Linked DNA regions of Macaca fascicularis. The protein of the gene in region 2 interacts with the protein of the main gene of each other region in a pairwise test. Links are inferred from orthologs where the notes say so. Each region holds a gene or a part of one and is shown on either strand. Other genes may lie near its edges. The genes, in order: FOXJ2 and EGLN3.

The links.
Region 1: the proteins of EGLN3 (region 2) and FOXJ2 interact in binary tests that used the Homo sapiens proteins (3 or more experiments, as listed by UniProt). The two-hybrid records come from large-scale screens. The link is inferred for Macaca fascicularis from reciprocal best matches to the Homo sapiens genes EGLN3 and FOXJ2.

The regions. Positions count from the first base shown.
Region 1 is NC_088385.1:12,668,538-12,672,354, forward strand, and holds part of FOXJ2 (forkhead box protein J2), read right to left. Parts: intron 2,547-3,817; 5' UTR 2,533-2,546; coding exon 2,200-2,532; intron 1-2,199.
Region 2 is NC_088381.1:101,736,755-101,740,571, forward strand, and holds part of EGLN3 (prolyl hydroxylase EGLN3), read right to left. Parts: intron 2,148-3,817; coding exon 2,011-2,147; intron 1-2,010. UniProt on the Homo sapiens protein: Prolyl hydroxylase that mediates hydroxylation of proline residues in target proteins, such as PKM, TELO2, ATF4 and HIF1A. Target proteins are preferentially recognized via a LXXLAP motif.

The DNA.
Region 1 (3,817 bases), on a different chromosome or scaffold from region 2:
AAAAATTAGCCAGGCGTGGTGGCACGTGCCTCTAATCCCAGCTACTCAGGAGGCTGAGAGAGGAGAATCGCTTGAACCCAGGAGGCAGAGGTTGCAGTGAGCCTAGATCATGCCACTGCATTCCAGCCTAGACAACAAGAGCGAAACCCCATCTCAAAAAAAAAAAAAAAAAAAATGTGTGTGTTGGGTGGGGTTGGGGGTTATGGTAGCTAGGAGGGACATATTTACAAAGGCAAAGCTCAGTGGGCCAGGCATAATGGCTCATGTCTGTAATTCCAGCATCTTCGGAGGCCGAGATAGGAGGATCACTTGAGTCTAGGAGCCTGAGACCAGCCTGGGCAACATAGTGAGACCTCATTTCTACAAAATAAAAAAAATTCCTGTGCATGGTGGTACACGCCTGTAGTCCAAGCTACTCAGGAGGCTGAGGTGGGAGGATTGCTTGAGCCCAGGTTCAAGCTCCAGTGAGCTGTGATTGTACCACTACAATCCAGCCTGGGTGACACAGCAAGACCCTGTCTTTAAAAAAAAAAAAAAAAAAAAGAGAGGCCAGGTGCAGTGGCTCACACCTGTAATCCCAGCACTTTGGGAGGCCAAGGCAGGAGGTGGATCATTTGAGGTCAGGAGTTCGAGACCAGCCCAGCCAACATGGTGAAACCCCCGTCTCTACTAAAAATACAAAAAAAATTAGCTGGTTGCAGTGGCAGGTGCCTGTAATTCCAGCTACTTGGGAGGCTAAGGCAGGAGAATCGCTTGAACCTAAGAGGAGGAGGTTGCAGCAAGCCAAGATTGCACTACTACACTCTAGCCTGGGCCACAAAGCAAGACTCCGTCTCAAAAAAAAAAAAAAAAAAAAAGAGGCCGGGTGCAGTGGCTCACACCTGTAATCCCAGCACTTTAGGAGGTCAGGGCGAGTAGATCACTTGAGGTCAGGAGTTCCAGACCAGCCTGGCCAACATAGTGAAACCCCATCTCTACTAAAAATACAAAAATTAGCCGGGCAGCAGTGGCGCACACCTGTAATCCCAGCTACTCGGGAGGCTGAGGCAGGAGAATCACTTGAACCCGGGAGGCGGAGGTTACGGTGAGCCGAGATCATGCTACTGCACTCCAGTCTAGGCAATAGAGTGAGACCCTGTCCCCCACCCCTGCAAAAAAAGAAAAAAAAGAAAAGAAAGCTGAGTGCTTTCAATAGTCTCCAACTCACTACATGGTTTGTACGTCAAATGGGGATTTACAGAGTGAGGGAACTACATATTAAGTTCCCATTCCTACTCAGCAATTGACAAATGAGCTACTGCTCCAAAAAATTGAGCATATCAGCCTTCCTTCTTTGCTTGGGAGAAGAGCCCCTTCTTTCTTCATCTCCAGCCAAACAACTTAGCTTCTCATTACTTGCTTGGTAGCCAGCTGTTGGTAAAGAACCTAATTATATTATTATTTTTCTTGGAATGCAGCTTTTCAAAAGATGATGACTGTGCAATGGAGCTATGGAAATCTGATGATCTAGATTAGATTCCTACCTTTAGGTAGGAAGGAGTGATGCCATGCCTTGCATAGTGACTGGAACATCGTAGAATGGTAATAAACATTTGTGAAATGAATGAATATCCTCTTTGAGGGATCAGAAGACAAGAGGGTGCGGGCCGGGCACAGTGGCTCATGCCTGTAATCTCAGCACTTTGGGAGGCTAAGGTGGGCAGATCATGAGGTCTGGAGTTCGAGACCAGCCTAGCCAACAGAGCGAAACCCTGTCTCTACTAAAAATACAAAAAAATCAGCCAGGCATGGTGGCGGGCACCTGTAATCCCAGCTACTCAGGAAACTGAGGCAGGAGAATCGCTTGAACCTGGGAGGTGGAGGTTGCAGTGAGCCGAGATCATGCCATTGCACTCCAGCCCAGGCGACAGTACGAGACTCTGTCTCAAAAAAAAAAAAAAAATGAAGATAAGAGGGTGTGACAAGCAACAGTATCCCGCCATCCCCATCACTATACTTAATGGCTTGGAGCTTCCCTGATATACCTTATAAAAGTTGTTCAACTCTGAAAAACAGTAGGGGGCAGAACATATGAGATTTTAAGTTTTCACATCTCTGAGACAAGCCAGAGTAAACTGAACAGGTTACAGGAAGAAACAAAAGTAGAGAAAAAGGTTGTTGAAGGCTAAATCTAAGCCAAAATTACAGAAGCATTCCCACCTTCCAACCAATGCCAGCATTCTTGTAATAGGGGAAGTTATCACAGATCCAGCGGTAAATCTCGCTGAGAGTCATCTTCTTGGCTGGAGAGGAGTTGATGGCATAGGTGATGAGAGTGGCATAGCTGTATCGTGGCTTGCCATCCTGGTGAACTGCTGCCTCATCTTTGCTCAGGGTGGCATTAGGATCTGTGGGTGAGCCTGGTGAACACTTGCGGCTGCTCCCGGGAGGCCCAGCCTGGGAGGCACTTCCAAGCTTCTCAATGGTAGCTCGGAGGGTCAGCTGGGGAAGCCAGTCTATGGAGGTGAGGCTACTCTCTAGGTCAGAAGCCATGGTACTTCTGGCTTCTGCAGAGAAGAAGACAAAGAGGAGACGAAAAGACTGGGGGCAAGTAATACTCAAATCCTTTTGTTTGAGGGAAGGAGAGTTTCTTACTGCTCTCATTCCCATCAGACACCCACGGCATGGCCTTCCACCAGGTGTTCCGAGAATCCCCAAGCAGATCTACCAGATGATGGACTGCTAGTTACCCTACAGCTTAACGTGGAGCACGGCCAAAAGGCCTCTCCATATAGGACTAAAAGAGATCAAACTTCACACCAAATTGAGCTATTTCCTCAATTCACCTTACTTATAGCCCTACAACATAGTATTTTTAAACGATGTAGGAATGAGTTTGAAAAAAGAAAAACCCCACTTAGCAGGTGAAATTAAAGTCCATTCTCCAATCATGTGACACCTGTTGTATTTTCATACAACATCCAGACAGATGGCATGAATGTCCACGTAAAGAAAAGGTCTACCTAAATACAAACATACATGGATGAAGCACGCACCAACACTTTTAAAGACGTTTCCTACTAGATATATTACGAGCACTTGCCCTTTTTATCCCCCACACATGTGCACCTGAGGCATATTAGGTATATCCCAGGCATAAATTATACATGACAACCAGCAGACAGATACATAAACAGTGAAGCACATACACAGAGATCACGATTACATATACAGCATACATTACCACCAGAGCACAAAGTCACACACAGAAGCAACACATCCTGAGTACACAGCTGCCCTCACACTTTTTAAGCTACCCCTTGCATGCTCCCGCCCACAGACACCACCACCAGGAAGAAGTCATCCACAAGGACCTCCCACCTCTCAGCCTGCTGGGCTTCACCCAGCCAGGGAGACACCCAGCTGTGTGCCTACCGGTAACAATCAGATAGCCTGGCTAAAAATAGCCACTCTGGGACTCGGAGCTGGCTCCCCTTCTCCGCCCTCCTCCTCCCTCCTTCCTTCCAGCCAGGCAGGCACGCTCGCTGCACCTCCATGCAAACTCCTGGAGCTGCCAGACCGCCTACGCCTGATGTTTGCACGCCCTGCTGCCACCCACACTGCCTGGGCGCTCTTCCCAGCAGAGAGGTATAGCTACAGCGACGTCTTGCTGAGGGAAAGTGAAGAACGATGGGTGCTATCTGTATTGCAGGGTCTAGAAAGGCTGGCAGGAAGCACTAGGTAGCCATTTGGCACTCCCCTAGAGCTGATGCCAGCAACCCCTAAGCACTTGCTGCCTAACAGGTTTGTGCCTGCACAGCCGCCAGATTCCAGCTAA
Region 2 (3,817 bases):
TAGAGACGGGGTTTCACCATGTTAGCCAGGATGGTCTTGATCTCCTAACCTTGTGATCCACCTGCCTCGGCCTCCCAAAGTGCTGGGATTACGGGCATGAGCCGTTGCGTCCAGCCAATTTTTTTTATTTTTTTATTTTTTTATTTTTTTTGAGATGGAGTCTTACTCTGTTGCCAGGCAGAGGCACGATCTCAGCTCACTGCAACCTCCGCTTCCCAGGTTCAAGCGATTCTCCTACCTCAGCCTCCCAAGTAGCTGGGACTACAGGTGCATGCTACAACATCCAGCTAATTTTTGTATTTTTAGTAGAGATGGAGTTTCACCATGTTGACCAGGATGGTCTCGATCTCTTGACCTGCCCGCCTCGGCCTGCCAAAGTGCTGGAATTACATGTGTGATCCACTGTGCCCGGCCTGTCTACCCTGATTTTAATTTAAAATTAACTTCTCTGGTTTTAATTCTATTTCAGTGTAATAAAATGCATAAGGAATTCCAGGTATGTGCCAGAAATTTTCTTGGGCATTAGGAATTCAAATGACCCTGTGATCAGATCTTCCTCTGTGATCTCAGGCTCAAAGTAGGGGAGACAGGTGATTTTGCAATAATGTAACAGGTAAACATGGTCTCTACAGAAAGGACTAGAAGGGAGTCATTCTGCTAAAGACTGGGAGACCCAAGTTGGTAGCGAGAACATAGAGGAGAGATGACATTTGAGTGAAGCTTTGAAAAACGACTTATGTAAATCACAGTATGTTTAAAACTCTTGGCTTGCTTTCTTTAGTTTTGGACATTGAGGCAAAATTGCAATTGAATAATAATAATGCCCCAGAGCTTTCTACTGCATCCCCCCACTAATTTGCTTTATCCCATTCATTGGATAGACTATAATGGGAACCATTTCATACTTGGTTTTTTTAAAAGTTTCATTTTGTAATGATTGTTAGCTACTGAAATTTCTACAGCACTTGAGTCTTTTTCAAGGGCTTCTCATCAAATTTGCTAATGTTTTCCCTGTAAGGCCAGTCATCATGATACTGGGGAATAACCAAAGGCTTCTGCCACAAACAACAGGGTTTAGTCACATACCCCATAAAACACAAAAGCTGACTTCAGTGGTAGAATTCGTTCCCTGCTCATCTAGAAGACATTCCAATGTGGCAGTTAATATGTAACTGGGTTTAGGGCTAAGCTGTGTGATTTCGGGAGGACACATGTGATCTTAATTTAATTAGGCTTGTCAGGGTTTAATCATCATCCTATCAAAACTCTCTCCTCCTGCCCCTGAATGCTAGTCTCAGTATAAGCTGCACTCCGTAGCCCTCCAATGCTGCCTGGTTTATTGCTTTAGACACAGACAAAGGTAAATAAGAAGCACAATTGAGAATGAAGATTTTTATCAAGATTGTCTAAATTGGTCCTAAACAATACTAAGGTGCTCAGCTACTCTGAGAATCTTCATGTGCACATAAAGAAAAGATTAATAAAACATTCAACTGTTGGACCATGGATACAGCAAGCCCAAGCCAATTTCAAACCAAGGAATAGACAAAAAGAGAAAGTCAAAACAAATTACTCTTTCTTTTCTCAAGGTTCTTTCTCTGCTTGCAACTAGTGGCTTGTAAACTCATCCAAAGTAACCAGACAGAATTCCTGATATGTGACAGCCAACATTCTCTAGGCATAGTTCAACAGTAGGTTTTTTTAAAAAGGGAAAGAGAGGTAAGAGAAAGGAGGAACGGAGAGAAGAGAAAAATACTCTTGAGAAATTGGAATCCAATATGCTCACCTAATAGAAAACAACTTGTTAATAGTACTTTCAAACTGAGGTTAGCTTTGGTATGCTAAAGAATGCAAAGCTTCCCCTTTAATTTTTGTAGACTCCAAACAAGTTCGCTATCAGCTATGGGGTGTGATCAATCCCCCACATGCACAGGACACGTTTAGAGAGTTCCCTGGAACTAGGGTTTATACAACGAACTCCGGAAGAGGAATCATGGCTCCGGCTATTACCTGGTTGCGTAAGAAGGCTGCACTTCGTGTGGGTTCCTGCGATCTGACCAGAAGAACAGGAGTCTGTCAAAAATGGGCTCCACATCTGCTATGAATGATTTCCCCTCTGGAAATATCCGCAGGATCCCACCATGTAGCTTAAAGACACAAAGAAGGGGGATTACTTCTTACCTCTCATGTAGTTTATCGACAACCATATTTCAGCCCCATTTAGAAACATGCCATCTGCTAACCACCACTCCAAATGCATGGTACCCCAGATTTTTACTTCAACCTCATACTTTGTACAAATTTTTTTTTTTTTTTTGAGATGGAGTTTCACTCTTGTTGCCCAGGCTGGAGTGCAATGGCATGATCTCGTTTCACTGCAACATCCACCTCCCTGGTTCAAGCAATTCTCTTGCCTCAGCCTCCTGAGTAGCTGGGATTACAGGCATGTGCCACTATGCCCAGCTAATTCTGTATTTTTAGTAGAGATGGGGTTTCCCCCATGTTGGTCAGGCTGGTCTCGAACCCCCGACCTCAGGTCATCCACCCACCTGGGCCTCCTGAAGTGCTGGGATTATAGGCATGAGCCACCACGCCTGGCCACTTTGTACCAAATTTTATACCAAACTTGGCTAGAGATACCTCCTTATTCACCTTAAACCAAAAAAAGCATTCCCACCACCCCCCCCAGTCATAAAGCCCATGGACGTAAAATAGAGTACTATTAGATTGAATCATACAGATTTGCTAATATTTGAGTGTTTTTGACTTTAAAAAAAATACCCAGCAATTTCACATGGTTCCATCTAACCATTAACAACTTTCTAAGAAAATCATCACATGTAACTTCCCCTTCAATTAGAATTTACTGCTCTTCTGAACTCCCTTAACTCCTATCTGACCTCGTTAGTTGGAAGTTACATGCTCTTTTTTTTGAACTCTCAGACCACCTAATCTGCACCTTTTATGACATATATCACTGTTTTCCTTGAATTACTTTTTCTTTTACACGTCAACCTATTTCATCCTACTAGAATAACATTATTCAGTGTAGAGTTCAGGCCTCACACATCAATGTTTCTTCATAATACAATGACTGACACTAGCAGGAACTCAAATATTTGTTGAATGATTGCAGACCTTCCAATTTGTCATTACCAATCTGATAACTTTATTCTCTTGTCTCTATTAGCACTTCTCAAGATTTTAAAGACGACCTAATGGATGTACCCCAGTCATGTTACCAATGTATTCCAGAGATGTTACCAAACAGGGAGAAGAGATAGGCCTTTTCACTGATTCGATGGTTTCCCAAGTTTCGTTTTTCTGACTTTGGATAAAATATTATTGCTTTACGACAGCCAGTATTTGCCTAATGAACAGGAAATGGAGATGCAGAAGGTTCAAAAGCCAAATAAGCTTGAAAAGTTATCTGACTTCCCAGACTCCTAAATCATTCTTAACTTTCGGAAAGCATACAGAGTCCACACAAATGTCTGTGAGCATGGAACCAGGCTTCATATCTCCATCTATCTATAAGTTCTATAATACAAAAATAAGCCACAAAGCCTTTGGCATTCACAAACCATAGTAAGCCATGGCAAGCAGCGATCAATGAGACATATCACCCTGAGGGAGAGGACTGTGTGGGAAATCTCTCTTGGGGATGGTTTTATATCCTACAGTTCTATTTTTGTGGAACTTTCCCAATGCTGCTTCTGGGAGGGAAAAGTGTACATCTTATTCTGCATTGAGAGTCAGAGCAACTCTGATTTAAACTGAAAAAAATTAATCATTAATTCTAATATCAAATTACCTT